2 linked regions of the Elephas maximus indicus genome follow. The protein of the gene in region 1 interacts with the protein of each later gene in a pairwise test. Links are inferred from orthologs where the notes say so. Each region holds a gene or a part of one and is shown on either strand. Other genes may lie near its edges.

Region 1 (16,121 bases):
GGAGTCCTAGACTGCTCTGCTAGCCACTTCCTGAAGGTTTTGAATCGAGGTGGGAAGAGTGCCTGTCCTTATACAGTGCGGTACGGTGATCAAGCACACAGGCTTGGCCCCGAATCTATGTAGTGGGGATGTTAACAACCTCTTCTCATAGTTACTGGGAGGATTAAATGAGCTAATAATGCATGCAAAGGGCTTACCCCAGCATCTAGAACATGCTAGTTATTACTTTCAGATGAAAATTAAAATTGTTGTCTAATATGGTTTCATGCCAGTTAGCAGTTTTTCTAGTCCTTTCCAGATCCAACTTTAAACTAGCTAAGGTGACCATATGAAAAATAAGACTTAAGTTTGGTTAAAACAGAGCAAGGACTTCGTTCACAAACAAGTGCAATTCTGCCCTTTTAAAAAAAAACAAAACAAAACAAAACTGGGGCACAGCTAGAAAGATACATTTACTAATAACCATACAACATTCATTCATCCCACACCTGCTACAAGCCAGGCAGGTGTGCTAGGTGAAGGGGAAACAAAGGTGAATAAGAGAGGGTCCCTGACCCCAAGAATCTTAGAGACTAGTGGTGGGGAACAAACACCAAGTGATCAGTAGAACAGTAGTTAAGAGGTACTGAGTAAATACCATGTGCCAGGCATTATTCTGAGCAACTTATAGGTACCATCTCATTTGATACCTTTTGATATCAGATTAACATCACCATTTTACGGACCATCATACTGAGGCCCAGAGAAAATAAATAACTTAAACTGGACAGTTAATAAGTGCCAGAGGCTGGAAAGAACACAAGCAGTCTAGCTGCAGGACCCGCTCCACCTACCATAAATGCAGTGGGAGAAGTGAGGCAAAAGACATCATGGGTACACAAGGAGGGAAAGTAACCTCGACTGGGGTGTAAAAGGGGTAGCTGAGAAGGGTTCCTAGAGGACACGTGATGCTTCTGAGTAGGAGTTAGCCAGGTATAAGTAGAGAGGGAAAGGATGTGCCAGGTAGAGCACAGAGCCGAAGCAAACGCAGAAGTGGGAAACCAGTACATGGGCTGGGAACAAGCAATCTCGGGTTGGCAAGTCCTTGTAAAAATGAGTCTGGAGCAAGGGGAAAATAAACAAAGCTCAAGTAACAGAGGTTCTTGTAGATCTATAAAGTGCTGCCACGTGCCTGTTCCTATTGACCCTTTAGTATCTTTATTAAGCATTCCATGTTTGCTTCATGAATAAGCAACTTTTAGGAGGTGGATGGGGCAGGTATTAAGATCTGGTTATACACAGAGAACCAAGCAAGGCTCAGGGAAGACAAGGGATTAGCCTAAAGGAGAAAGTCACAGAATCCAGGTCCAGGGCCTTTGCTACTGCAATCACACCATAACTGAGCAGCTAACTCCTCCTGCCCACTGGGGCTAGGCAAAAATGCAAACCTGCATAATGGCTTGCACACGTGTAAAGAACTCCAAGGCCATGTACCTTGTAACAAGCTCTCAGAGTTCAGTGGGCTGTGAGAGGTGGGATCATGTGCTAAGACCCTGATCTACACCCACAGAAGACAGCATCCTCCAAGTGTGGTGGCTAAGAACAAGCTCTTAGAAGCCAGACTATCTCATTTTAAATCCTGGCACTGCTGTTACTGACTGTAACTCCCGGCATTCTCTGTTTACTGAGGCCCAGCGGTTAAGCACCCCACTGCTAACTGAAATGATGAAAGGATGCTGGTTCAAATCCACCAGTGGCTCAGAGGGAGAAAGATGTGGCAGTCTGCTTCTATAAAGATTACAGCAATGGAAACCCTATGGGGCAGTTTTACTATGTCCTGTAGCATCACTACACCCTGGTGGCGTAGTGGTTAAGAGCTACAGCTGCTAACCAAAAGGCTGGCAGTTTGAATCCACCAGGTGCTCCTTGGAAACTCTATGGGGCAGTTCTACGTATAGGGTAGTTCAACCTACAGGGTTGCTGTGAGTCGGAACTGACTTGACAGCAATGGGTTTGGGTTTTTTTTTTTTTTGTATCTGAAAAATGGGAATGATAACAGCACTGAGAATTACATAAGCGATACTTGAAAAATACATAGAACAGTGCCTGACATGAATCAAGTGGTATATAAGTCCTCAACTCTGGAATTTCTCCCCAAATTATTCTCTCAACTATATGAGGAGCCTTGGTGTTTGCTCTTTAAAACATTTGGGTTTTCTAATTGACTGATATCACGAGAATAGGTCTGAGAACCCCCTTTCCTGTATCATTAGAAGTTCAGAAAGGACCTTAAAACTTACAGGCATCTTCCCAATTTTTTGGTGACATCTTCGAATCTATGGATTTAATAATAATCAAACTCAGCGCCTACTGACTGAATACCTCAGAATGTTACAGATAGAATGTAGGGTTTTAGGCAGGTGGGTGACTGATAAGGTACAGAAGCCTCAACCATCATTATGCTTATTTTAGGGTGTGAGGTACATAGCTCCTGATATGTAGGATTAAGCTCACAGCTGGCACAGTTACCTGTTCTTCCAAAATAGGGCTTTTTACTAGGGTTAAAGTTTTAGTAGTACTTGACAAACTTCTGAAAACAAGTACTGTAGATTTCAGAGAAAAAAGCCAACGTGAGACCTCAGCAGTATTCTAAATTCCAACCACGTACCTGACAGTCATCCACATCGACTTCAAGGAACACCACGTTGCCATATTTCTCGGAGAGGGACTGGAAAATTTCAAATGAGAAAGCCGAAGAGATTTAAACTGGGTAATGGCAGCCAACAGACTCAAGCTTCCTCACTGGAAACTTAAAGTCGAGAAGAACTAAAACCTCAAAAATTTACACTAGAAATCAGGTAGGTATTAAAAGACATACATTTTCTCTGAATAAAATTCCTCTTGCCGTAAAATAATTTGGCACATCAACTTTTGAGGCCTACATTTCAAATAGGGCCCAGTTTCAACTTTAATAAAAGCAAAATCATTTAAGACAAACCAAACTAACTTCTGAAAGCTGTCTTAAATGATCTATATGTATCAAACCTAAATTGCTACACTATTACCTGTAGACCAAAGATCTAGCAGAAGAGAAAAAAGGCTTTACTTTGCTAACTTTGTGACCGCCAACTGCCCCCCCGCAAACAAATCGTTTACAAAGGAAAAGCTGTTTAATACTCACATGAAAGAAAGGCTTGATCATTTTGCAAGGCCCACACCACGTGGCTGAGAAGTCAACTACTACAAGTTTATCTCCAGCACTGTTCAAGGCTGCCTGGAAATCCTCCTTAGAAGGGAAAAAGGCATATGCTAAATAGTTGCATTTGGAGACGTGATAGGACAGGATGCACAACTGAGAGGTCCTGCTTTCACGCTTAATTTTTCAGTAAAAGTAAAAAAACAAAGAACTAGGTTTGAAGGAATCCTAAACACCATTGGTACTGTCATTTGATGAATGAAGCCAGATGTGCGGCAATGTACGTGTTTTCATGGATATATTTTATAAAATACAACTAACTGGCTAATCTATATTCAAGCTAAGCAAGTCAAAGGAAAATAAAAATAGAAATTCGGACTAAAAATGTTTCTACATCAAGTCTGGTTGGTAGAATCCACTAAATGCTTATTGACTGATGAAAGGGGTCATGGTCACTTCAATCAAAGAAGTCACAATGGCACAGGGTTTTACAACTGAAACACCAAAAAAAAAAAAAAAAGAGAAGAAAACGTTACCTCAGAAGCAAACACTTGTCTGATTAAACTAATATTATCTATGGTGGAAAATGTGAGAAGTTAAAAAAAAAAAAAAAAAAGTCAAGGAAAATAACCTCCCTCAATTCCCAAACTCAGATAATCAGATATCACCTGACATTAAGCGTTATCTCCTTGTACTTTCTTTTTAAAATGGTGTTTCAAGAGTCGAGATCATCCTGCTTATCAATCTTTGATTTCGCTCTTTATCTCAAAATTCTGCCCTCATTGTTGATTATATGAACAATAATGTTAGATCTTTGTGGAGCATTCCTTACATTTATTTTACATAAAGAATGCATGTGAAATAAACTCTACTAGCGGAAGATATTAAGAAATCCAACCTCTGTGAATTATTTACTAATGGTCTGGATACTGTAACTCTGGGAAGCTAACCTTCTCATTTTAAGCACAATTAGTCACTGCTGACCAAGAAACAGGCAAATGAAGATAAATCAGAACATAAACATCTATATCCATGGCTTGGTTTTCTTTGAAGGGAAAAATGCTAGCCAAATAATCTAATTAAAAACGAATCAATTTATGTAGATGATAGGAGTTCAACAGATGGTAGCTATAATTTTTTATTTTTAAAAATACTATGTTGTCAGTACTGGGGAAGTCAGCACAACTTGACCAAGGCAAGGTCATGGAAGCTTCATAGACACATCCAAACTCCTTGAGGGACTGAATTACTGGGCCGAGGACTGGGGACCATGGTCTCGGGGAGCATATAGCTCACTTGGCATAACATAAAGAAAATGTTCTACGTCCTACTTTGGTGGGTAGCATCTGGGGCCTTAAAAGCTTGTGAATGGTCATCTAAGGTACTTCACTGGTCTCACCCCATCTGGAGCAAGGGAGAATAAAGAAAACCAAAGACATAAGGGAAAGATTAGTCCAAAGGACTAATGGACCACAACTACCACAGCCTCTACCAGACTAAGTACAACTACATGGTGCCCAACTACCAGCACTGACTGCTCTGACAAGGATCACAGTAGAGGGCCCTGAACAGAGCTAGAGAAAAATGTAGAAAAAACTGCAAACTAACAAGACCAGACTTACTGGTCTGACAGAGACTAGAGAAGCTCCAAGAGTAGGGCCCCGGGACACTCTTTTGACTCAGGACTTAAGTCACACCTGAGGTTCACCTTACACCCAAAGATAAAAAAAAAAAAAAAAAAACTGAAACCAAATTTGTTGTCATTGAGTTGATTTCGACTCACAGCAACTCTACAGGACAGATTAGAACTGCCCCATAGGGTTTCCAAGGAGCGCCTGGTAGATTAGAACTGCTGACCTTTAGATTAGCAAATGTAGCTCTAAACCTCTACGCTACCAGGGTTTCCCATCCAAAGATTAGACAGCCCCATAAAACAAAAAGGAACTAAATGGGCACACCAGCTCAGGGCCAAGGGCGAGAAGGCAGGAAGGCTGGACGAATAGAAATGAGGAACTGAAGGTTGGGAAGGGAAGAGTGTTGACATGTCTTGAGGTTGGCAACCAACATCACAAACAATATGTGTATTAGCTGTTTAATGAGAAACTAATTTGCTCTGTAAACCCTCATCTAAAGTACAATTAAAAAACAAAAATGAAACTGCGTTGTGCTGATTTCTTCAGCATCACCTTTTACAGTCCCTTCTCCCATCCTTGTCTGAAACAGGTCCTTGTGCCCTGAATCACCAACACAGTGCCACGAAACAAAGTTATCCTGGAAGGCCAAAGGCACAACGTTCAGCCCATCAGGATGAAAATCTAAGGAGTATTTAATATTTACAAATAACCAAATTACAGTTTAATTTTTCATTAGTGGCTGTGGGCCGTAATTCTGTCAACTGACTGTCTTATGGCTGGGGTGCTTTTGCAAGTGATCAACTCCCTGTCATCCTTGTACACCTCACTGATAAGGGGACTAGGGACTGATTGCCATAACTACAATAGAGAAGGAAGGATTGAAAGGTTTGCTCCAGGAATCAAAATCAATTTTCTGTTTGCAATGTGTACTCAGAGGTTTTCTGGCTTGTTTAATAGGTTCTCTCCTGTTGGGTTCTAGGATGAGGTTGCCAGACCCTCAACAACAGAAGCCTCCCACCAAGGCATATAATTAATATCTGTCATAAATCAGATATTGAACAAAACTCACTATTAAGGATCTCTCTTTTCAATACAGGAGAGGTTATCATTTAAATTAAAACAAAAAACCAAACCTAGTGCCGTCGAGTCGAGTCCAACTCACAGCGACCCTCCAGGACAGAGCAGAACTGCCCCATAGAGTTTCCAAGCAGCACCTGGCGGATTTGAACTGCTGACCCTTTGGTTAGCAGCCGTAGAACTTAACCACTACACCACCAGGGTTTCCATTTAATTATTAAAGCTCATAAAATTAAAGAAGTTCAAAGTTGCTAATAAAGATAATGAAATTAGAATAAGACAATTTTTCTTTACCATTAATTTGCCCAAAATTAAGGTGAGAAAAGTCGGCGATAAGGGTGATGTGAAAGGAGCGTTCTCATGTAATATGTGTACCATTTACAAGTTTACTGCGCTTGTAGTTCTAATCTAAGGAAACAGCCTGCTCTTTGTACAAACTTTATTTAAAAAAATTAATTGAAAGTTTGAAACTTCCTAAATATCCACAAATGTTTTCAGACATTAAAACTATTACAACGAGCTTTTAATTACAAGGAAAGTGTTTGGGCTAAACTGAAAGCGGGAAAAAAAAAAAAATCCCAAATCAAAACAGTACGAATAATCTCAAAGGCGTTCTCTCCCCTCCCAAATTTTCTACAATGATTGCGTATGTTTTCTGGTTATAAAGTAATAAAAAATGAGTGACCATTATAAAGAAACTTGTTTCCGAAGCCCACACCACCATCTAAAAGCTGAAGGCACTCGTGGGCAAGGATCCCGTTTCCCGCTTTCCCGGGCTGAGGATGGACGCGTGCGAGGGGTCTTTGACCGTTCAAGCAGCATCAGTTTTCTTCCATTTACTTTTCTGACTCTGCATTTAACAAGCCTTCTTGAATGGCTACAGTGTGCCAGACACTATGTTAGGTAACTCGAATACGAGAACAATTTTTGCTTTGGGTGTTTTTAAAAGGACAAAACCAGGATCTGGGTACACGAAGGCCGACGAGCACACTAACCCAACACGGTAGCTCCCATGGGGGATCTTGGTTTCAGTGAAACTCACGGACTGTGGGAAAATCACAGGCGGGCAAGGGAGGCCCCCAGGCCCAGGCCTCGGGGACTGAGTCATTCCAAAGCCAGCCCCGCCGGAAACACGCCCTGCGCCGCAAGAGGAGGAGTCCGGTGGGCGCAGCCGGGCCCTGACTTCCTCGCAACCACCTGGGGCCCATCGCTCCTCCCCTGGCCTCGGGGCCCGGCCGGCACTCCCGAGGTGTCTCCAGTCTGGATGTGCCCCCTTCGTGCGGGCACAGCAAACGTCATCTTTGGGGCCCGGCGGTGATGGAGGCTACCGGGGGATCCACCCCATCCCAGGCGGGTGGATCAAGTCGCTCACAGGGTGGGAGTGGCGGCCAGCGACTTCAAGCATCTCCTTGCCCAAGCCCGAATTCGAATACAGATGAGGTCTAAGGGCAGACGCCCTCCATGCCCTCACTTTCTTCCAATCGGGGTCGCCAGATGGGAGAGTGCGGGAGGCGCAGTGTGGGTACCCCGGGCGCTCCCCGCGCGCGTGCATCACCCAGGCGCACAGGAAGCGTCAGCGCTAAGCACCCCGATCTCGCCCTCCAGGGGGGCCTCGTCCCTCTCCTCCTCCCCCCCGCCCCCCAATCCCGGGCATACTCTGCCGCCTCCGGCGAGCCCAAGCCTGGGCTTCTCAGCCGAAGGCCAAACTGCCGCCTCCCCTTCCCCCAGGAATGCAAAGGGTCTGCCTCGCCATCTCTGGCCCACCGCCTAACCCAGCTCGGAAGCTGCAGCGCGCCCTGGACTTCCCTGGAGGTTCGTACCTTGCCCTCGATCTGTTTCACCATTTTGGCGGTTGGAGACTGATGAGCGGCCCTTTGAAGCACAAGAAATATACCCGAAGCGCCGGACAGAGCTTGACCCCTAAGCGCGCAGCCCGCCTTGTCTTTATAGCGCAGCAACGGGGCGGGGCGCCGCTGTGGGCGGGCGGGCGCGCGCAGCGTGCGTGAGGTGGGGGCGCGCCCGTCCAGGCAGCTCGAGCCCGCGCCCGCGCCGCGCCTGCCAAGATTCCGCCAGCGAGGCTCCGCCTCTGGGGGGGGGCGCAGAGCCGGGAGGTCGGGGCGGGGCCCTTGGCGGGGGGTGGGGCTGTCGGCGCCCCACGGAGACCCCGGAACCCCCGTCCCGAAACCGTTAGTGTCCCATGGATGCGTCGAGTGACCTAAAGGGCTCATGCAGTGCGTCACGCGGTGGGAGGCGGGGAAGCGGACGGCCACCTCCAGAGCTACAGGGCCCCTCCCGGGTTACCCGGGAAGGGGTCAGCCAGACCTTAATCGAAAGCAGAGAGGCTGGAGAAGGACAGTCCCGGGACCGCTCTGGCGTGGCTGGATTCCTCGAAAAGGCCCGCCACACCCTCGCCTCTGCCCTGCGGCCCAGAGAAACCAAAGTGCTGAGTAACGATGACCAGGAAGTATCGCCGTGGGTTCACCCTGTTCTTTGTGAAATCTGCTTTGACGGTCCTCTTCTTTTCCCTCCTTGTTCTTTCCCTTTCACTGATGAACTCGCCGCTCGAGGGTGACACTGCAGCTTAGAGCGGTAGAGACAGCCGGGGTGGGGGGTGGGGGGACTGACTGGGCTATCGCACAGCTGCGTGCGGGATGTAAGTTAAATTGTGTGCAACTTCGTTACCATGTGTGACCCTGGCTACGCTCTGACCTCCCAGCACCTCAGTTTTCCCTTCTGTGAAATGGGAATTAATAGTCTCTATCTCACGGTGGTGGTGTTTTGCGTGCTGAATAAGGTGCTTTAAAGTGATTAGGACACTGTTTTGGTACATAGTAAGCCCCCCAATAGTTCTAGTTATAGCTAGTGTGGAGTTCATGGGTGGCCCAAACGGTTAAATGCTGGATTACTAGCCTAAAGGTTGGTGGCTAGAACCCACCCAGAGGGGCCTAGGAAGACAGGCCTGGCAGTCTGCTTCTGAAGGGTCACAGCCTTGAAAGCTCTATGGAGCAGTTTTACTCTGCACACATAGGGTCCTGTGAGTTGGAGTTGACTGCAACTAACAACAACATAGCTATCGTGAGTACTGATTCGGCCTGCTTGGTGTCATGGTGGGCCTGGATGAGCTTAACCAAACCAAACCAAAACCAAACCACTGCTGTCCAGTCGATTCCAACTTATAGTGACCCTATTGGACAGAGTAGAACTGCTCCATAGAGTTTCCAAGGAGCGCCTGGCGGATTCGAACTGCGGACCTCTTGGTTAGCAGCCATAGCACCTAACCACTACACCACCAGGGTTTCCATCCTTATATTTGTAAAGCACCACTGCACGTATTTGTGTTTTTTCTATCCGTGGTGAGAAGCCTGGAATGGAAAAGTGAGGCGTTTGTGTTGATTCAGGGATGCACATCACAGGTTGGGTCTGGCACAAGAGAGTGGATTGTGAAAGGTAAGTACGTTTTTAGGTACGGTTAGAAGGGCCTGTCGGGAGTTGAACATGGAGGAACTGTTGAACTGGAGAGAGAAATGAGAGCCAGAGGTTGCGGTGGGGAACCCGAGCTTGCATTTTCAGAGCAGAGCAGGTCTGGATAAAGCTAGATCTAGGTATGATTGGCTGCGGTGATGAAATTGCTCCTTGGCTTTTCCCCAGAGCCTGTAACTTCTTTCTCCCTGACCTTTCAAACGGAGAGGAAGGAAGGAAACCTGAGGTTTTGAGCCTGTTATGCAGTTGCTAAAGGACTGAGAAGTTGCAAGCCATAAGTAAGGACGTAAACGAGATACACATTTTAAGGACGGCTCTAGACAGAGGGAAAATGGTCTCTCCTGAATACAGCAACCTTCCCCCAAAGATTAAGGACTACTGGGACAAAGAAGGGGCCTTATAGGGTGCCGGGAGCAGCTTTTCTGCTGCACTGCCTTAAGCCTAACCTCCATCCCTGCTTCTGATGCATTGCCATGGGAGACGACAACAGATAATTGCGCTACAGGAAGGCGAGCTGACAGATCACAAAGGGCTGCCCAGGCCATATTCAGCTGACATCTCCTTTCCAAGGACTTTCCAAATGTCCATTGACTCAGTTGTAGGGGGTACTGACTCCCTCCTGCCTCTGGAAAACCAATATAGAGTGAATGTGAGGGATGTTACAACTATAGAGAACAGGGAGCTAGGAGGCTAAAAGTGTATGATATGAGCCCAGACTCTGCAATTAGACTACCTGGTTCTTGTCCCCACTGTTACCACTCAGTAGCTGGGTAACTCTAGGCAAGTCTAAGTAGCCTATCAGTTTTCTTACCTGTAAAATGGGCATAATAATACCTTATGCTATGATTAAAGAGCCCTGGTGGCACAGTGGTTAAGCACTTGGCTGCTAACTGAAAGACTGGCAGTTCAAACCCACCCAGTGGCTCCCTGGGAGAAAAACCTGCTAATTGTAAAGATTACAGCCTAGAAAACCTCATGGGTCAGTTCTGCTCTGTCACATGGGGTTGCTGTGAGTTGAAACTGACTCGATGGCACCTAACAACATCATGCTATGATAAATGTTGAGTGAGTTAAAATATATGTGAAGTGCTTAGGAACTGTACTGGCATAAAGTAAATGCTGTATCAACTGTGCTTACAGGCTATTGAATGGAATGGTAAAAGCCCTTCAGAATGAAAGCAGAGCTAGGATGGAAGGGGAGACTGTGAACCATGTATCCGAGTTGTAAGAGAATTAAGTAATCAGGAAATTTGTAATGAACAGTGAGTCTCAAAGGAAAAGGTCCCCACCCCGCACCCCCAGAGGGAGGAAGAAAAGTGGGTTGGACCTTGTCCTAAGCAGCAAGGTTCTCTGCCTTGCATATGAGAAACTGAGTCTTTAGGATTTCAGGTCTGGCAAGGAGGTAGCATTCTGTGATGAGAGTGAGGTACGGGGGATCTGTTTGTGCAGAGGGGCTGTAGCGGTGAGAGGAGGAGAGACATGGTGATCATTATGGATTGAATTGTGTCCCTCCAAAAATATGTGTTGTAAATCCTAACCCCTATACCAGTGGTCATAATCCCATTTGGGAATGTGTTTTCTTTGTTACGTTAATGAACAGTATTAGTGTAGGATGTGTCTTAAGTCTCTTTTGAGGTATAAAAGAGCAGAGAGTGATCCCATGTGACAGAGTAGAACTAACCCATGGGGTTTTCTAGTCTGTAAGAAGCAAAAAAACAAGCAGAGATGAGGGAAAATAGATGCCATGCCACATGTAGATTCCCACGGAGCCAAGGAAAAGAAGCTGAAAAGAGACAAAGACCTTCCCTCCAAGCCAACTCCTAGAGTTAAGCAGTCCTGAATTCGGACTTCTAGCCTCCTAAACCGTGAGACAATAAATTTGTTTGTTAAAGCCACCCGCTTTTGGTATTTCCTTTGTAGCAACACTAGGTAACTAAGACAGTGAAATAAACACATTCATTTAGGGTTTGGCTGCGTGCATTACTCAGAACTGTCAGTTGCAAGGATAAATTACAGTTCAAACTGATTTAAACCACAAAGAGAATCACTAACTCCAGGAACTCAAAGATGTCACAAGGGCACATTCTTGAACAGGCTTTCTTCTCCTTGTGGAAGACTGGCCCTGGCCACCAGCAGTCCCGGGCTTAGGGTCCCACCAGTTTAGCATCCCTTCAGAAAGAGAATCCTTCTCCTTTGTTCTTGTAACTGTCCCAGAGGCTGACATCATTGACTTGAGTCTGGGGGTGGGCAAGAAGGCGTCAGCTTGAACCCCTTGGACTAAGAATAGGGAAAATCCAGGGAGCTACCAGAAAAAGTAGAAATGGATGCTAGGGAGGCAAAAACAACACTTCCATGTCATCAAGAGGAGCAGAAGATTAGTGCGGTCTGATAGCTTGCTTCAGGCGTCTAGGTCAGCTCAGTCTGAGGCACCAAGCAGAACTGGAGAACTAGGTCTGCTGTGTTGTTTGAGTCCTATCTTAGTTATCTAGTGCTGCTACAACACAAATACCCGAGTGGGTGGTTTTAACAAACAAATCTATTTTCTCACAGTTTAGGAGGCTAGAAGTTTTAATTCAGGGTGTGGGCTCTAGGGTGGAAACCCTGGTGGCGCAGTGGTTAAGGGCTAAGGCTGCTAACCAAAAGGATGGCAGTTCGAATTCACCAGACACTCCTTGGAAACTCTATGGGGCAGTTCTACTCTGTCCTGTAGGGTCACTATGAGTCGGAATCGACTCGATGGCAACATGTGTGTGTGTGTGTGTGTGGTAACCATTAGCCTCATGTGTCTGTTGAGAACTTGAGATGTATACTGTACTTGATTCAGTTATTGTAAATTATTTTAAGTATGTTTGGAACAACCTTGGTATGTGAATCTAAGTTTTCAACTAAATTTTATGCACTTGAATACAGATCATGTATTCGCAATGAAATTTTACCATCCAAATTTTGATGTGCTGTCAATGTAAAATTCACATCAGATTTTCAAGACTTAGTAAGAAAAAAGAATATAAAATATTTCATTGACTTTTTATATTGTATGTTGAAATGATAATATTTTGGATCTATTAGATAAATAAAATATTTAAATTAATTTCATCTTTTTTTTTTGTACTTCTTTTAATGGCTACTAGAAAATTTAAAATTGTGTTTCCATGGAACAATGCTGAGTTAAGAAGTTCAGTTGGTCCTAACATCTGCCTCAAATGAACCTTTTATGCAAAGCACTTTTGTCAGAGTGCCTTAAAGGATTGGGACTTCAGTTCCACAGGTATGGCTTGTACGACTGTTTGCTGGCCTACCTGATAATAAATGTGTATGTGGCTACCATTGAACATATCACTTGATAGTGAGGTTTTGAGGGCCGGACCTGTAGTTCTTGCCTAGTTGTAAATGATACAACGTACAACTTAATCACTTCTTGGAAATACACTCAACTTTCTTGAAACTCTCCCTCTATACTTGTTAGGTGCCCTTGAGTTGGTTCCGACTCATAGTGAACCTGTGTACGACAGAAGTAAACACTGCCCAGTCCCGCACCCATCCCATGATTGCTGTTATGTTTGAGCCCATTGTTGTAGCCACTGTGTCAATCCATCTTGTCGAGGGTCATCTTCTTTTTTTACTGACCCTCTACTTTGCCAACCATGGTGTCTTTGCTCAGGGACTGGTTCCTCCTGATAACATGCCCAAAGTAAGTGAGACGAAGTCTTGCCATCTTCACTTCTAAGGAGCATTCTGGCTGTACATCTTCCCAGACAGATTTGTTCATTCTTCTGGCAGTCCATGATGTATTCAGTATTCTTTGCCAACACCATATTTCAAAGGCATCAATTCTTCTTCAGTCTCCCAAATATTGTCCAGCTTTCGCATGCATATGAGGTGATTGAAAATAGCATAATGTGGGTCAGGCATTCCTTATTCCTCAAAGTGACATATTTACTTTTTAACACTTTAAAGAGGTCTTTTGTAGCAGATTTGCCCAATGCAGTATGTCATTTGATTTCTTCACTGCTGCTTCCATGGGTATTGATTGTGGATCCAAGTAAAACGAAATCCTTGACAACTTCAATCTTTTCTCCATTTATCATGTTTATCATGTTACTTATTGGTCCAGTTGTGAGGGTTTTTTTTTTGTTTTTTTTATGTTGAGGTGTAATCCATACTGAAGGCTCTATTATACTCTGTCAGATCTCCATACAGCTCTACATTGCTAGAGAAAAATTTCGTTTGCTGAGTCCAGCAGCCCTACGCTGGGCACCACTAGTGTACCATTGCTACTGCCAGAGTTGTCCCTGGAAATCTGCCACCAAATGGGTTTTCCAGGTGGTTCCTGACTCTGCATCATGGATCCTAAGGAGAACCTGACTGAGAGAGGTATGTGTGATTGATGGAGCCTCTACTGTATGCCCCTGTTCCAGCTGTGAGGGAGGCCAGAAGGCTCCAGGGTCCTCAGCATTGTTCTCGTGAAATGGCCTTTGTCTTTCCACTAAATCTCTTAAAGCGGGAAATTCCTCAAACGTGGAAATGGTGCAGCAGTAGATTCAGGTGTTTGGGGGGAGGGGGAAGAGGAAGACAAACCCTACCCCATTTTCCCTTTCACATACATTCCTCCTCTGCCCATTTGTCTAGTGGCCTGTGGGGTGGGGGTGGGGGGCCGGGGGGGGGCAGGCATGGTGATACCATTCTCTTTGCCAGCAACTGGTTCAAGAACCCAGATATCAGCCGGTTAGCAGTTAACAGATGGCATTCCCTTGGCCACAGGTTTGTTTCAGGATCAGATATGTGACCCACTCTGGGCCAATGAGATGAGAGGAAAGTTTGCTAGCAGATTCTAGGGAAAGTTACCTTATTCCTGAGACCTACATAAAGAAACGATCTCATCTTTCTCCAGATACTGTTTCATGTGGGTGTAAGCTGGAAAGTCGTAGAACATACAGAGAACTTGAGGGCAGAAAGCATGGTAGTTGCAGAGAGTGGAGCAGGAACCACTGGATTAAGTTCCCTGGAGCCTGCCCGCCATCTGGACATCTAATTATGTGCATAATACATTTTCATTTGGCTTAAGCAACTTCAAGCTGGGTGTTCTGCTACTTACAGCCAGTAACAACCCAACTGAAATATATTTATTTAGAGGATTCATCAACAGATGAGGCACTTTGGTAAGCTTGTAATTTGTTGAATTCTGAAAAGTTAGTGTAATGTGCTTTAATTACTCTAGAAATTATCACTGTTATGAAATTGAAAGGCAGTGATTAGTATTTAAATGAATGTAACACAGACAACTTGAGATCTGCTTCATTTGGCCGGGGATAGAAGCAGTTTAGCATTACTGCCAGATTCCTTCTCTTTTTGCCTGAATGCCCTGAGGATGAGAAGACCTCTCAGGGAGTACCCTCTGAAGAGAGACATATTTAAATTCCTGGAAACGCCTACAGTACAAACATAAGCAATATTTTAGAAAACATTACCCTCCCTCCTTCTTCTTTCCTTATGTGGTGGACAGCTGCTGTTTTGCCTGCCTAGCAATCCTTCCCACTTATTTTGGTAACAACAGCCTACCTTTCCTTTGAATAGCTCTCTCTCTCCCCCAGTCCCTGTAATCTTGTTGGGACGAGCCATTGGGGTCCAACAGCTGTTTCCTGTACCTAGATCCAGGGCTGATATGTGACTTCAGGTCAACCAGACAGCCTCACAGGACTTCAGATCTCTAGGGAATGCAAGAGGGAAAATGGCTGGAGTCATTCCTAAAGTTCCACTGCTAAAATTGGCCAGTGAAAACCTTATGAATAGCAGCAGAACATGGTCTGATAATAGCATCGAAAGATGAGCTCCTCAGGTTGGAAGGTTCTTAAAATACAACTGAGGAAGAGCTGCCTCCTCAAAGTAGAGTCAACCTTAATGATGTGGATGGAGTCAAGCTTTCGAGATCTTCATTTACTGATGTGGCACAACACAAAATGAGAAGAAACAGCTGCAAACATGCATTAATAATCAGAATGTGGAATGACAAAGTATGAATCTAGGAAAATTGGGAGTTGTCAAAAATGAAATGGAACACATAAACATCAATATCCTAGGCATTAGCCAAAATGGACCGGTATTGCCCATTTTGAATTGGATAATCATATGGTCTACTATGCCAGGAATGACAAATTGAAGACGAATGGTGTTCCGTTTATCATCAAAAAGAACATTTCAAGATCTCTCCTGAAGTACAGTGCTGTCAATGACAGGATAATATCCATAAGCCTACAAGGAAGACCAGCGAATACGATTATTATTCAAATTTATGAACCAACCACTAATGCCAAAGATGAAATTGAAGATTTTTACCAACTTTTGCAGTCTAGAATTGATCAAACATGCAATCAAGATGCATTGATAATTACTGGTGATTGGAATGCAAAAGTTGGAAACAAAGAAGAAGGATCTGCAGTTGGAAAATATGGCCTTGGTGATAGAAATGATATGGAAATCGCATGATACAACTTTGTAAGACCAACGACTTCTTCATTGCAAATACTTTTTTTCACCAACACAAATGGTGATTATACACATGGACCTCACTAGATGGAATACACAGGAATCAAAATAACTACATTGGTTGAAAGAGATGATGGAAAAACTCAATATCATCAGAACAAGGCCAGGGACCGACTGTGCAACCAACAATTGCTTATACGCAAGCTCAAGTTGAAGCTGAAGAAAATTAGAACAGGTCCATGAAAGCCAGTGTATGACCACCTGAACTTAGA
Region 2 (16,493 bases), on another chromosome or scaffold:
CAGCTAGCTTAAAGGAAACACACCTAGCAAAAGGTTGAATGTGTAGCGTTTCCTTTCTTCAGTCTCAAGACACCCCATATCACTCCATTTCTTTGGATCTGTAACATCTTAAAGGTACATTATTAGAATTCTAACATTGCCATCACCCCTTCTCTCTCACAAATATCTTCATCATAACATGAGAACTGAACTAGGAGTTTTCCCAAAGACGCATCTACTGTACCTTGTATTTGAGTCAGTTATAATGCCTTTTGGTCAGTCAAGATTCCTTGTAAACAAAACCCGAGGGATCATGTAACCATGTATGTACAGAACAGGCAGCAGAGAATCCAATAAATAAACATGACAGAAACTGACATGCAAGTTTGTTAAAGTGGAAAAGTCTAAAACAGTGAAATAAGGGGAGACAGATGAGTGAGTGAATAGTAAGGAATGGATTTAAATGGTTTACAAGGAAAAAAAAAAAAGCTTTTACTTTACAAGCAAGAGACCTCACAATAAATAACTGCTCTTCCTTTCACGAATAAATTTCTTCAAAAACAAGGTGTACAGTCAACCAGACATTTTATGTATAAATTATAAAACATGACACAGTATAAATAAATGTCTACAAGTCTCAACTATAGGCCTCATCCAGTAGACCTCACAATGACTGTCTCTCCGTGTCCAATGAGTAACAAGGTGGCCTGGGAGAGAGCTTTAGGACCAAGGTCCTTTATGTATAGATTTCCCCCCAAATAAATAAGCATACACTTATGTACAGTATGGACAATATATTTTTTTCTTAGTTTTTGTTTGTTTGTTTTTTGCCCAAAGGCTATATCAACACTGAACACTGGTAGAGGGTTTACCACTCTAGAATGGAAGATATAGGGAAGCTGTAGTCCTGGTCTTCATCTTCCTCCTCTTCCTCGGTATCTTCCGAAATGGCTAGATGGGGGAATACAGGGGAGCTGTTGTTTAAATATGGACAACAACAGCGCAGAAGCAGCTCAGTGTATGTTTTCAAAGCCCTCTGATACAGCCATATTACAGCGTTGCATTTTTATGTGACTTGCAGTGAGATGCTTTATTTTTTGGCATCTGCTGTTATGTAATAAGTTAAAAAAAATTTTTTTTTTTTAAAACAATTTATGAAGTCAAAAACTGCAGAAAGTTCTGAAGAATCAATGGCTCAGGTTTTACGGGAAGATTCCTGAAATCAGATAAAAAGCGCTCTTGTGTTCTAGGTATAACTGCTTTGGGTCCTTAATTCAGAGTTAGTAGAGGCAACTGCAAACAGCAGCAGCCCGTGTGTGATAATATACAGCTGCCTTAGGCGGAAAAGGAAAACCAAATTTTTGAAGCAGTTAGTTTAGATTCAAGTGTTAATCAAGCAAACAGCAAAGCACAGTACTAAAGCAAAAGAATTAGGGCAAATGACTGGAAATAGGTTTCAGCGGCAATCCCGTTGCTGATCACTCAGCTAGTCCTAAAAGCCAGGAAACATTCCAGGGAATTTTTCTGTGGATCACTGAATTGCTGGTGAAATTGAGCAGCTACCTAACTGAAACAGAAATGGGCTTACGTGGGAGGTCTGCGTGCTTTTTAAGTCTCCATTCCCAAGGGCTTGCCTGGGAAAGCTTTAAATTGCAGCAAGGTTAAAAATCGCACTTACAGTTGCAAGATCCGGAGTGCTTTACTTCCAGCAGCACACCTGAGGAGCAGGCAGCTTCCTTCATGGCACACTCGCTGGCATAAGTGGCATTGTCACTGGCACAGACAGGCTCGTCAGACTTACTCTCAGGGCACAGCTCATCACAGAGGGAACACCGGCCTCTGCCAACCTTGAAATCCCATAAACATTTTTTTCCACCAGTGCACTGGATATCTTCACAGGACTTTGCTTCTAGGATATAATACATCTGTGATGAGTAAACTGATTTCCCCTTCATTCCTTTTCTACCTTTCTCTAGTCTTCTCTCAATACATATATCTTATTCCTCACAAATGGTGGTAAAGGAGACATTAGGCAAAAATGCTTGATAATGAAGCTGAAACTCAAATTCAGAGACACACACACCACAAAACTGCAGTTTCTTACAAACTATATTAGATCATGGAAACAGTAATTTTTGGATCAGGATTTCGTAATATCTTTGAGTTAAATATGTATCCGATTATTTCTCACAAGTGGGATTTTAAAAAGAAAGAATTTCATCAATCATTGGAATCTGATAACAGATTCTAGGAACTGTGAAGTAATTATTTCTCTCTTCTAGCAAGTCTAGCAAGCCCTTAAAGAAAAAAACTTGTAAAACTGAGTGAATTCTAAGTTTTTTTTTTAAGATGAAAAATGGCTTTCTGCTTCTTGCTGGCATTTGAATATATATATATGCCAAAGCTTCTGGAAGACAATGATTTCCATGAGGAATGGTATGGTCAAGACAGTTTAGTCAAACTGGAGAGTAACTTATCCCTCTAAAATTACATGTTTGAGGAGACAAATTTGGCTTTTATTGGTTGGCTAGCCCCACAGCTCTAACACAAGAACTAGTTGTCTGGCTTCTCTCTTTTTTCTCTTTTCCTTCCTCAATCCAGAATACCTACTGATACACTTTCCCTCGTAGGCTAATCCAATGGATCTGCCCAGCAGGCAGGTAGCCTTTCTCAGGTGACAGGCGCTGGAGTAGGTCACTCCGTCATTCCCACAGAGATACTGTTCAGAGGAGGTGGGCTCTGGGCAAATCCGATTACATGTCACACAGTAGGCATTATTGGTCTGGTCTACCACACATGTGGAGCTGCCTGGACAGTAAACATCCCGACAGGTCTCTGAAACAAAGACAGAAATACACATTCATAGACATCGTCTGGTCCTTAAGGAGTGAACATTTGATATTATAAGGAAATCATGAAACTGAAACAATTCAGCTTTGAAAAGTTACTTTGGGAGCCCTGTGGCTTCCAAACATACTAGTCTAGGTTTGGCCCTTCACAGTTCTTATAGAGTCTTTAGACATTTGAAAAAGTTTCCTTTATTTGGTATCACTGAGGTTTTTTTTGTATTATTATGATGATGACTATGATTAGACTCTTACTATGGACTATCCCATCCCTCCCAGGGACTCCAGGGGGTCTACTTCAGGTAGAAAGTTGGGGGGTGGGGGTGGGGAGGGAAGTTGCTCAAGCAGCTGAGGACTTACTTTTACATTTGCCCTGGTACTGGACTTCCAGTTCTGGCTGCTCTTTACATCTGGCCTTGAGGAGCGCACATTCATTGCGGTAGGTTTTGCCGTCCAGCCCACAGACGGGGCCCTTCCAGGTGATGTTGGAACAATCAGGAGCACAGACGCAGCGAGGTTTGTTCTTCTTGTTCATTCGGCATTTTTTCCCGGGTCCACAGTCCACGTTTTCACACGTTTCTACGAGTTGGAAAGAGGGATGGATTAGAACCAGGGCCAGGCAGTCTGCAGGTCAGCCAGGAGAGCTTGGGTGTCTTGCGCAATCTGCAGACATGAGTTTGCAAGGGGAGCCCAGGCTCTCTCCTAGGAGCCAGGGACCGGACTGAAGAGGTGGAAACAGTGGGCTGAGTCTGGATACTCACATCTCTCAAAGAGCAGGGTTGGTTGCCTTTACCACCACACTTGGCACAGAAGTCCAGGAACCTCCATCGACCCTATTTTGCCTGCCTGCAGCCTCTAACAGGCCAGATTCTACCCCAATGGCTTACCAGGGCTGGGGGAAGGAAGCGGGAACCCATAAACAAAGCTTTCCCAGTCCCAACTCCCAGCGAGGCAGTGAAGAAGCTGAGGGCAACACACCATCTACTGAAGGCCTCAAGTTGGGGAGGAAGAGCCCTACCTTTACAGGGGATGCAGTTGGGGGCGCCCCCATTGAAAATCATCCACTTGAAGAGTGTGTTGTCATTCACATCCTCCTCGGTCCACGAGGTGCTCAAGCGCCCGGTGCTGCAGCACTCCTCCTTGCTCAGTTCAGTCTTGTACAGGACTTGGCAGCGACCGTTCTTAGCCTGGCGGAGCCAGCAATTCCCAGCTGCAAAGAGACCGGGGTGGGGAGGTGGGTGAGTGCTCGGCGGGGTAGGGGGAGGGAGGCGGCAAGCGCAGGAGGGAAGGAGACAGAGCGGAATGGGGAGGGGTGAGCGTGGAGGAGGGGATGAGACAGCCTATGGAGAAAAGCAGAAAATAAATTGAAAAGCAGAAAATAAATCGAAGGGGGTGGTGGTGGGGAAAGAGAGGGTGGAGAACGCTCAGAAGGGAGAGTTGGGAGGTGGGCGAGGGGGAGGGAGGGCGAGGGTGAGAAGGCAGAGCGCCCCAGCCATATCAATGTCAGTTACCAGTGACCCAGACACAACACGTGCAGCTTGCATTGACTTTTACTAGACTGTTTACTTTTATTTGTCCCATTTCATAACCTGCAGCAACTCGAAGAGCAGATTAAAGAATCTGACAAAAACAGGATGCGACGGATGTTTTTACATGTTGGTTTCACGTAGGCGGTATGGGTATTATTTGTGACAGGGGTTAAGAAAGTAGGAGAACTTGAGGGAGAGAGAGAGACAGACACACGCTACAGCGGATTAAGCAAAAGGCACTTGTGAAAAATGAAAGCAAAAAAGCGACCGACAGGGCCCGGTTGGGAGCTGCCCCAGAGGCCTTCAGGCGCAGTCTGCCCGACGGCCCGTTTTGCAATCGGCCAGCCCGGGAGGACACCGCGGCCACCACAATCTTTCGAAATCTCGGAGGGCTGAGTCCCTGGACGCCCACGTCCCCCGCACCAAAGCAGCGCGCTGCGCAAGGCGGGCAACCAACGTGGAGCGGTGCAGATGGCGAGAGGCAGTGCCCAGGCGCCCAGGCGGCCGGTTCACAACATACTTAAAACGTTAACGCGAAAGCAGGTAAAGTTACACGTTCTGTCTCCTAGAAAGTAGAGGAGACAAGAAAAGGAGGGACGCTTCCCACAATTTCACAGCTACATATACCTAGCTCATACCTACAAAGAAATCTTTGCAAGCAATTTCTCTCCCTTCTCCCGCCCCCTCCCTGGTTAATGTTCGGATTTTGGTCAGGAAAAGCTCTCATGAATCACCAATGTGACTTTTCCAACAACTGGACCTCAAGCTGCTATTACGATTTCTAATTTTAAAAATTCTGCCCAAAGACTAATTGAAATAAAAAATCGAATTTGAAAAGACACACTTTAGAAATGTGCTCTTAATCCATCTCAGAACTGGAGTCATTTGTGGGCTCCTCACTGTTCTACAGAAAGTTAAGTTATAGGGATGAGGCAAAGGGGGAAAAAAAACTGTAAAACTACTCTTAAAAACACTCTGGGTTAATAATTTGAGACTTTTTTTTTTTTTTTTTGCGGGGTGTGTGTGGGGGAGGGGGCTGGAAGAAGCATCCACTAGGCAGAAAGCTACTTCCCTCTAAAAATTTCAGCACCCACATTTCCAAGTTTGGGCAAAGTTTCTGAAACCACGTCGCCCAGCCACCGAAGAAAATTCAGTATCTGCCCCCCCTCCGGTCATTTTTTAAAGTATCCAAAAGATGCGGGAGGGAGAAATGTTAAGGTTGCAAAGGGGTCGACTGAAATCTCCAGGCTACTGATGCTTGTCTCCTCCTTCAGAGCCAAAAAGGGGAGATAACATCCCAACTCATTATGGCAGAACTTGAAGTATCTAACCCTAACTACTGAGAGAGCCTCCAGCTCACTCCCTTTCCTTTTTAAGGATAACCGAGCTCCAAACTCTTCCCGTCCTAAAGTGTCACTGCCTTCTGATTTCCCACTCCTCTCCATCCCGGAGTCCTTAAGTTGGTCCAACATCTTCCAGGAGCAGCGATGCAACAAGAGACCAAGTGGAGACGACAGTAAAGTCCAAACCCGTGTCCGCAGTCGAGCCTCCCCAAAGCATCCCCCTCGCTTACCCTGGGCGCTGCGGTCCTCCATGAACTGGCAGAGCAGCAGCAGCAGGAGGCAAAGCCCGCCGGGCTGGTGCCTCGGCCGGACCATCCTAGGGGCAGGCGCTGGGCAAGGAGCGCAGCGGCGCGGGCAGCGGGCGCAGCGACTGGTGGCTCCGGCAAGCGGCGCGCGTCGCAGAGGCGAGCGGCGGAGAGCGCAGCGATCCCGGCGCAGCCCCGCGCTCGCCGCCGGCCGCCCGCGCGATTCAATGGACGTCAGAAGCCGGGCGCAGCCGCGCTTTAAATCTAGACGGGGGTCTCCGCGGTTTGCGGTGGGCGGTCTCCCAGTGTGTGGGGCTGTGGGAGGGCGGCCGCAAGCAAGGGTGTGCGCGGCTCCTTGGGGGTGGGGAGCTTTTAAAAGTTCAGTGTGAATCAGGTGACATTTCCCACCTTCTGGAAACCCTTCCCAATTATCTGCTGGAGGTGCCCGAAATCAAAGCGGCAGGAAGGGAATCGCCGAGTTCTTATTTGCGTAGGAGCGGGAGGGAGGGGGAAGGCAACGCTTCGGGGGTGGGGAGTGGGGAAGAACACCCACTTCAAGTCCTGCACGCCGCCGCTCGCAGGCAGCGCCGGCGCGCCCGGGGTGGCTAGTGTGTGTGTGTGTGCGTGTGCGCGCGCGCGAGAGAGTGTGTGTGTGTGTGTGTGTGTGTGCGAGGGAGGGCGCGGTGGGGGCGCTGGAGGCGGCGGCGGCGGGCAGAGCAGGGGAGCCCGGGAGTTGTCTCCGCACCGCCGCTCCTCCGCTCCAGACAGACTTTGCAAACGCCCAAAGAGCCCCGGGCTGCCGAAATAGCCTGTTTCGGCTTGGGGCGGACCGCGCGGGCCTGGTGGCTCCGCTGGGGAACTCTGCGGTTTTCGGCTCCCGCAGCCTGGGCGCGGAACCCGCGAGGTTTTGTGTCTGGGTCTGTGCGACCCTTACTTTGCTGCCGCCCCCAGCCCAGAGCTGCTGCCTATAACCCTGGCCCCGGCACCTTCCACACTGGCTAAGCGCATCCGAGACGCGGCCCTTCTGGACGAGTCAGAAGCAAACAAAAATGTTTAACACCTCGGGCCCAGCCTCCTCCCTCCCCCCCGTCACAGTCGCGCCTTCTCCCTTTCTTTTCTTCCCTTTCACTTGGCTGCGTCTGGAGTCGGAGCCCGGAGCCGGGGCGCCGACGTAGGCGGTCTGCCCCCCCCCCCAGCTCCGAGGCTCCCCGGTTTCTGTCTTGTGTGTCTCGTTCCTCTGTCTCTCCCAGTCGCCTCCTCGTCTCCCCGCTGGTTCTCTCCCTTTCCCTCCCTCTTTCTCTCTCCCTCTCCCTCTCTCGGTTTGTGGAATAAAAAAGATTGCAACATCGATAATGAACTTCTGTAGCCTCAGTTTATTAAGCACAGTGCCTGGCATTCTTCGCTGAAAGTTGGCGGGTCTCTCATTTATAACATTTTTGGCATCGCTGAATGAGACTGAGGAGGCGATATTTCCTTTTATATAAAACGATTACTTCACGGAAAATGCTATATTGTTTATTCCAAAGCTGCCTTTTTAATTTCTATTCTTTTCTGAAGCTCGAAGGACAACAGACAGGGAAGTATGCAGACAAAATTCTTGGATATTTGCAGGTCACTGGGATTCGTTCTACGGATTTGAAATCCGCCCCTCTTCGCCCCCCTCAACTCCTCTGCCAGCCCCTTCTCAGTCTTCCTCTCGCACTCCCGCCCCCCCCACCGTCTTCCACCAACCCCCCCATCCCCTCCACAACTGCAAATAACTCAGTGATAACAGATTTTTTTCCACCAACTGCAGGAGATAGTGCTAATCTTTTAATAAAAGATCCCATTACAATGGGATCTGTCTGGACAGACTATAATAGATCCCGAAATACAGCCGTGCTAATATTAGAAGACAGTTGTTTGGGTGCCTCTCAGACGGGCCCAAACCCCCCTTTGAAAGTGGGCATGAATCACAAAACCCCGCGGCCGCCGCACCTGCACCGCGCGCATTGAGTGCAGCAGGCTGGTAAAAACGGGTGACCTCGCCGCTGCTTTTCGCTTTATAATTACCGTCGTGAGGACGGGAGGGGAGGGGCGCCGGCGGCCCCGGGGAGGTTGGGTTTTTGCTCACTTCAGACGGCTCTGGGGGCTCCACATCCTTCTTAATCTTTCCATATTCGTTCCCCCTCTCTCTCCTTTTCTCCCTCTTTTCCTCCCGTCCTCCCACCCCTCTTCTCTTTCCCTCCCTCTTCCCAGACTCTGCTCTTACTCTCTCCCCATCCCCCTACTCCCTCCCTTCTTTTCCTGTCTCCCTTTCTCTCTTCCCTCCAATGCCGCATTAATGTAGGGTGGTTTAGTGCCCTCTAATGGCAGACGACATTAACAATTAATAACAAACTACCCTTTGCAGGAGCCGCCACTCGATGACAGAGTTCCAGCGCCGAATTTATTTGTTCTTTATTCAGGGAGATGGATATAGTTCTTATAAAAGTGCTGAGGGAAAGTTTGTGTTTTCCCCTTTAAGACTCCCGCCTCTCCACCCCGCCCTGTCCTCACCTAAGGGGAAATTTAGTTGAAGGAAAGGCAAAAGCCAACAATTTTTGTTGCTTGACTTTTTTCTTTAAAAAAAATTTCTTTTTAATAGCAGCCAGAGACACAGCTTCTGTTTTAGCTAGGGTTATCAAACCGTATATCTTGGATTGAAAAAATAAACATCATAAATACATAAAAGATCTTAGACGTAGTTGTATCTTATCGTAGTGCTACCAATGGGCATTACACAAATTTTAATACCCAAACATACATGATTTTATATTTGCCCTCTGTTTAGGTACATTTATTGTCCCTGAATCTGTCTGTAGCCTCTGAAAGCTAGGGTCTTTTTCTTAGCCTTTTCACCCTAGGACCATAGAAAATGTGTAAATTTTAGTCATGCCCAGTTGTACATGAAGCCACCTTGCCAGAGGATATAGGGTAATATTTTAACCCACAGTGGCAGGACCATACTTTTTCTATATTTTATAACGCTATGATGATGAAAAAGGTGATATAACTTGCATGTTCTTATTATACTTAACTATTGTTCATTTACATATGCACATACCCACCAGGGCTCCCCATATAAAAAGGAGTGTACAGATACAGGGGTGGGGCTTATGTGGCTAAATGAAATATAATAGAGGCAATTTTGGAGGTTAATAAGAAATATTTATCTGGGTCTTTGAGTAATAGTATTTGGTTTATCCAGATGGTTATTTTAGTTTATGTATATAGAAGCAACTGGTGTCATAAAATTTTTCTGTATCAATTTAATCCAAGATATGTTCACACAATTCCAGTGTAACTGGGTAAAAAAAAAAAAAAAAAAAAAATTAGTTTCTCCTTTTTTTTTTTTTTTGGTCCCTATAGTGCCAAATACTCTTTGACCAGACATTTGACTAAACCGACTGCATCGATTAGTTGTTTGGCGTCATGCAGTTGTCTTGGCAAGGCCCAGGCAGATATAGTACTCTCATTGTAGAACTTGTCATCACGCACAGGAGTCCTCCAGCACCAGAGGCAGACCCAGCATAGGATTCTTACCCCTGAGAGGGTGGTTCTGCAGGTCAGGGTTGAGGTCACTGACAAATATACTGTGGAAAACAGAAGTGCTATATTGCTTTTGCCCTTGTGAATAAGCAGCTTGGTGTTTGTTTAAGGATACAAGCTCATCCTGTTTTTCAGCTGCACCTTGGATGGTATTGATCTGTTTGGGAGAATGTCAGCTCCGAATCTGCACAGATCAGTCCTCAGGAGCCTTGTTGTCCCAGGTTATTTTCTGGCCATATCTGAGGAAATGAGACCCAGGTCAATACTGGTTTCATATGGGTGTGCTGTGGGCATCAACAAGAGATCCATCTGATTGCAGTGGTATGAAATGATATCACACCTGTTCAGTGACATCACAGAAAAACAGCTGCTGTTTCTTTTACTGTGTTAGCTCCTGTAAATGCTAAATATTGGGTTAGCAGAGAGCTAAAATGTCAAGGGGACATTTTTAAAATAAAAATGCCCTCTTTCATTTTTGTCGTATGCCTCCAAGTTTGACTTCTTTTTTTCCTTTCTGCATTGCCAAAAAAGTGAATGTAAATTATGAGAAACACAATAGGACCACTTTGTAAGTGAATTTCTGGGCAGCACACAAAAAGACTGCTGTTCTCTGATTGTTTTTTCTCAGCTTCAAACGGTATCTTCCTTCTGAAGTCTATAAATTTAAAATATTAGACTTTAGCAAATGATTCAATGTCGCTCCCAAGATGGCTACTTGAAATCATACGAAATTGCTGTTTGAGCCCAGAATTGGCCGGGTTAAATCTTATTTCCTAAAAAGAGAATATGGAGGGGCTATGGTGAGGTTATTGTGGAAGATTTGAAAGTGATGCACTGAGCAGCTTTTATTTTGTGCCTGAAAATCACATGCCTAAATTTTTCAAAGTTAGGTGTTTTGCAAAATTAATGTTAAGTCTGCAAATGCAAACAACTGATCCTGATTAAGGAACAGAATTTAAGCATGAACAATAGGCTGAAATTCTTTTAAAATCAGGTTTGGTTCTTGTAGGTACAAAAACAGTTACTCAATGCGCCACCATGGTCTTTGGAATTGTGCAACTTCATAGTGCTAGAATGAGGCTTTGAGGTGGGGGGTGGAGACAGGAGTTTTGCATCGGCTGAATTGTTGCAGAACTAAAAAGTTAAGAAATGTGAGTACATAAAAGCAGTGTTTATCCAAGGTGTCCAAACCATCAGATGATTAAGCTTTTTAAAAAAATTATCACAATATATGTTTTCTAGACAGTGCCGAGAAAACAACTGATTAACTGAACTTTTCTCTTTTCAATATTGCTTTCGTATTATGTTGAGTCAATCACAGAGCTGCCTTTCTTTTTGAAACTACCTGTTTCTGTATAAAAATTTTATGGTCCTATTTTCCCCTCTAATGTTAAAAATATTTTGGATTTTCAGAAGTCATCTATATGTGCTATATAGTCACCTAAACTAGCAATATCAGCATATTCAAATTTATCATAAATTAAGTCATTAATAAACCTTAGTAAATGATTCAGATTATGCCTCTGGATAGGACTATTCTGTTGGGTTAATAGAAACTTCTAAGAATTTTACTGTAGCTTAGGTCAGTCTGACAATACAAATGATTCATTTATTTAGGTACGACTGAAAAGTAACAGTATAACGGTGACCTTTAGCACTTTTGACCCTGGTTCCATTTACACTTCCCATTGCATGGAAAATGTGAGGACGGTAAATCAGTATTTGCTGTTCTCTTTCCCTACTTTTTGTTCAAAGCTCAAGATCAAGATAAGTACCACTCTTCCTAGATTATCGTTTGGCTGCCGGATAGTTGGTATGTTGCAGTTCCTTTTGTACATTTTGGTGTCCACTACCTCATTCTAGCTTTCCATGGAGTAGCAGTGATTTACACATTTTATAATTTGTTCTTTTATAAGTGTTTGCTTATTCAGTATTGAGATCAGCAGTTGATACAATTGCTATTTAATCATCCATCATGTTTGCCACCCTTATTTTTTTTTTTATATGATATGAATCCTGTCTCATCTCTGATGCCCAATTGGTCCAGGAGTTGAAGTATTATGTTTATGATAGGTCCAAGGCTCACCAGGCAGTCAGGCATGATTTTAGACAGCCTACTGTGTGTCCTACATACTTTCCTTTAGTCATCTTTCCTCAATGGTGACTTTATTCCAGGTCCATTTTGCATTTTGCTTTTGCACCTTTGTCAAAAGTCAAATGGCCTCATAAGTGTGGATCTGTTTCTGGGCTCTCTATTCTGTTCCACTGATCTATTTGTTAATCCTAAAAAAAAAAAAAAAAAAAAAATTTTTTATGCCAGTACCACAGTATCTTGATTAGATTTATAGTAAGTAATGAAGTCAGGTAGTATAATTCCTCCAACTTTGTTCTTCTTTTTCAAGATTTCTTTGGATATTCTAGTTGCATTTTCATATAACTTTTAGAATCAGCTGGTCAATTTTTACAAAAAAGCTTGATGGGATTATGATTGGAATAGATCGATTTGGGGGAGAATTGACATTTTAACAACATTGAGTCTTCCAAACCATGAACATGGTATATCTTTCCATTTATTTGGGTTTTTAAAAAATTTATCTCAACTAGGTTTTATAGATCCATTTTGTATTTTGGCTGTCATTGAAAAACATGTTGTTGATATAGGATAATCTATGCAGTTTTAGCTCTGTATCTCAAAGAAATTCAGTGGGTTCTAAAGATATCCTGGTGCAGGCTAATACTTGTCTTCATACTCCCTAAATTTGATTTCCACAGCCAGTGAAACACATTGCATTGAGCATACTCTCCGGGAGTGGTGTGCTAATTCTTCAAAATCTCTTGGATGCCTTCTTTTGGTGTTTCTTTTAGACCATAGTCACTCTTTTAAATGAATAATCTTTGTCACCATGAGATTTATGTTCAGTGAGTGTTAAAAAAAAAAAAAATCCTCTATTGGATAGTGTTTTGTCAAATATTATTTCATCTTTTTCATGTGAAATAATGGATTATTTCTACTCAAAATAATCCATTACTGTGCTTAGGTTTCAAGTGGCAGTTTCTATTATGCCAAACTTTGAGTGGCTTTTACTTTCTGAATTTATTCTATATTGGAGAATTATGGCATCTTTTCAGTTGTTAGAGCTCTCCCTGATAAATTTGTCCTCCTTACAGTTTCCTCTACCTTAACATCTCATTTTCTACTCATTAGAATGGTCAGTACTAAAATCTAAACTTGTACCTTTTGCAGCATGTATTGGCTTATTTTTTTTTTATGTAAAAGACACATTCAAAAGTAAACTATACTTTGTATTGTTTATCTAACAGTACTATTAAATATTTAACAATGGGTTGAGGTCAAATTGTGATGACACAACATGTGGAAATACGGGACAGATGATGCATTAAGTGTTGAAATAAATTATTTCAACACATGGCGAGCCTTGCTATTTTTTGGACTAGAATAGAAATATATAAATGTATATTATGAAAACTGGTAGATGAATGACTTACAGGCAGTCTTGGTTGATGTGTGCTAATCTCCCATAAACAGCCACTCTTTAACAAAATAGAATTGTTAGTATATATAGGAGGTTCATTTATTTGGTTTTCTAATACATTAGATAATGATTCTTTTGAACTGGTTTCTGTGCAGTTTCTTTGAAAATAAGGATATGAACATAATCAACAGAAAGTATGTGTTAATAGCTCACATGGTGGGCAGATGGAAATGTAGTGTAGAAGAACCACTTGGTTGAGATCATTTTGATCCCAAGACTTCTAATCTTTGCCTTAGCAGAAAATATTGCTTTGGCCAGGCAGATGACATACCATCACACAGTCAATGTTACAATTTTTGCCAGAGCACCAGATTTCCTAAAAAAATTTTTTCTTGTTCACATATCTTCTGAAAAGCTGTTGAAAGCTATGAACCATTTCCTCAGAATAGTGCACAGACACAAACATGTATACACACATACACAATATTCTACGTTGTTTTTTAAGGAGATTATAGACACTTTTATGTCCATACACAAGTCTTGTAGGGTTCAATGGACTTCAGATTAAGACCCTTAGTTTTGAGTGAGCCAGTTGCTAGATGGGCTGATTATTCTACCAGTACATCCCAATCAGTCTATTTGCCTTTCGAGATTCCTTCAGACCTCAATCAGAGTGTCCTTTGGTTTTGCCACTCCCTGGCATAACTCCATATACTAGAGTGTCTTACAAAATTAACCAATGTCACCATTACAGAAATTGTCTTGAGAGAGTTCAAAATACACACACACATACATAACACATACACCCAGATATGCATTTATCTACTTTTTTTTTTCTTTAATAATTGATGGTGTTAACTGCTGATGAGTTGGCCTCTAACTCATGGTGACCTCAAGCACAATGGAACTAAATGCTGCCCAGTTCTTTGCTGTCCCCATGACTGATTGTGGGTCAGACCGTTGTGATCTATAATGTTTTCTTTGGCTGATTTTAGATTGCCAGGCCTTTCTTCTTAGCCTGTCTTAGTCTAGAAACTCAGCTGAAACCTGTTCAACATTAGAGCAACACTCAAGCCTCCACCAACAGATAGGTAGTGGCTAAGCATGAGGTATATTGGCTGGGAATCGAATCTGGGTCTCCCACATGGGAGGTGAAAATTCTACCACTGAGTCATCAATATTTCTACCCCCTTTAATAACAGCTACCACTGATCAAGTTACTATTCCATGCCAGGCATTTAAAATATACCAACTTTATTCCTCATACCTACCTTGCCAAATAGATAATATTATCACCATATCTAGATCCCTCCAAAATGTAGGGCAAGGCTGAGGCAGGATTCAGAAAGAGATTGAAATTTAGGATTCCCAAGGAGTAAGAAGCAAAAGAAACAGCTTCGTAATTACTACTGTATTCTAGATAACGTACTTTTAAAGATAATGTTTTTCAGCTGCTATTCATAAAATCTGCAACTGAGGCACACAAAATATTCAAATGCAAACAGCCTTAGTCTTTCTGAGGTTTAGTTGTCAACAAAATTTCAACAAATATTTCTTAAATATCTATTATGTGCTCCAGATTCTATGCTGTGGATAGAGAAACAAACCAGACGAGCCTAGTCACAACTTTCTTGGAGATTTTAGAAAGCAGAACAGACAGATATTAAACAAGTAAGTAAAATATATTGTGATGAAGAGGGTCAGGGAAGGTCTTTCTGAGGAAGTGACATTTAGATGAGACTTTAAAAATGAGAAAGGGGTACCCAGGAAACGGTGGTGCTTGGGAGAGATAGTGGAAGAGTATTTGTGAAGCTAGGAGGCAAGAGATAGGATGCCCCATTTGAGGAACCAAAAGAACAAAATGAAGTTGTGGCATGCCCAAAGCACAGAGTTAGAAGAGTAGAAAATGAGGAGATAGGATAAGTTGATGGGCCAAATTATGTAAGCTCTCGTAAAACTTTGGGTTTATTAGTTTTGCAGAGGGAAGCCATGGAAATATTATACGTAGGGGATGGCATGAGCTGCTTTTCCCTTAGAAATGCTCTCTCTTCCGGGACTGTGAAGACATATTGGAAGGGACTAGCACTGGTGAAAGAGCTACCTTTTGGGATTCCATTCCAGTAGCAGGACTGTATAAGGGGATGGTACTTGAAGAGAAGGATAGATTCAAGAAATGATTAAGGTGTAGAACCCATAGGATCTATTGATTGACTGAATGTGGGGGATGAGGGAAAAAGAAGAGACAAGGATGACTGTTGGGTTTCTGGCATGATTTATTGGATGCGTGGTGCTATCATTTCCTGAGATAGGCTATGTCTTAGGCTGGGTTCTCTGGAGAAGCAAAACCAGTAAAGTGTAAGTATATATACAGAGAGATTTATATCAAGGAAATGGCTCACATGGTTATAGAGACTAGAATTTCCAAGTCAGTGGGTCAGGCTGGAGGCTTCTCCTGATTCAGGTAGCCACAGAGGAGGTGAACCCAAGATCAGCAGGTCAGAGAGCAGGCCTATTGCTATGCGAAGATCGATGAATCCCAAGATCAGTAGGCAAGACCACAGGTAAGCTGCTAGCTTAGGTTCCAAAAACTGGAGGTCAGACAAACAAGAGCCAGCTGCAGAGCCAGAGTGAGGAAAAGCCCATGAGCCTTTCCAGACTGTCCACTTATATTTGATACAGGTCACATGCCCAAGAAACTCCCTTTCAACTGATTGGCTACTCACCAATCAGTAGATCCCATCATGGGGGTGATCACATTATATCAAATCTTTGCATAAAAGTGATCACAATATCAGAAGACCGTCAAACCACTGAGAATCATGTCCCTCCAAGCTGACACGCAATCTTAACCATCACAGTCCACCCCTTGTCAACCTGGCATCTATAAACACCTCCTTAAGCCATACATAATTTCTGAATAAAGACAATTATAAAGTCATACTTGCATCTAACATGATACAATGAACACACATACAACTGAAATGCACTGGCCTTGTTTACATCTTATATTTTATAAATGAGGAAAATTATTTGAAGCACACATATAAAGCAGAAATACTCACAACAATTAGTCTTCATTTCTGCAACTGGTCATGTGGTTGTAACTGGTATTTAGAACTACCTTTTTCCACCACCCATTCTGTATTCCCTTTGCCCTCAGCAAGCATCTCAGCTGGTTGTGGTTCTTTGCCTGGTGGGGTGAACCAAACCATTCCTGAAGGGTCTGGGCCATTCGTAGTCGTATCAGAATTGGGTTGCTGTAGTTTTCCATTGACTTTAATTATAGGGCATGGTAGTACTAAGAGATGCCCTAAGGGATCTCTTGCAAGCCAGACATACCCTTCTTTACCTCCATTATGTAATATCAATCCAATTTCCTCTTGGTAATCAGGATCAATCACATCAGCCAGTACGGTAACTCCCTTCTTTGCCTGTTGATCCATAGGCATAAGGAGCCCAAAGTTGCCAGGTGGCATTCTTAGCTTCC

What was found.
Region 2: the proteins of TXN (region 1) and FST interact in binary tests that used the Homo sapiens proteins (3 or more experiments, as listed by UniProt). The link is inferred for Elephas maximus indicus from reciprocal best matches to the Homo sapiens genes TXN and FST.

The regions. Positions count from the first base shown.
Region 1 is NC_064827.1:59,705,291-59,721,411, forward strand, and holds the start of TXN (thioredoxin), read right to left. Parts: upstream 7,848-16,121; 5' UTR 7,731-7,847; coding exon 7,707-7,730; intron 3,266-7,706; coding exon 3,161-3,265; intron 2,708-3,160; coding exon 2,648-2,707; intron 1-2,647. UniProt on the Homo sapiens protein: Participates in various redox reactions through the reversible oxidation of its active center dithiol to a disulfide and catalyzes dithiol-disulfide exchange reactions.
Region 2 is NC_064820.1:56,586,865-56,603,357, reverse strand, and holds the start of FST (follistatin), read right to left. Parts: upstream 6,467-16,493; 5' UTR 6,013-6,466; coding exon 5,928-6,012; intron 4,036-5,927; coding exon 3,844-4,035; intron 3,405-3,843; coding exon 3,186-3,404; intron 2,815-3,185; coding exon 2,590-2,814; intron 1,889-2,589; coding exon 1,658-1,888; intron 931-1,657; coding exon 848-930; 3' UTR 1-847. UniProt on the Homo sapiens protein: Multifunctional regulatory protein whose primary function is to antagonize members of the transforming growth factor beta (TGF-beta) superfamily including activin, myostatin, GDF11 or bone morphogenetic proteins (BMPs).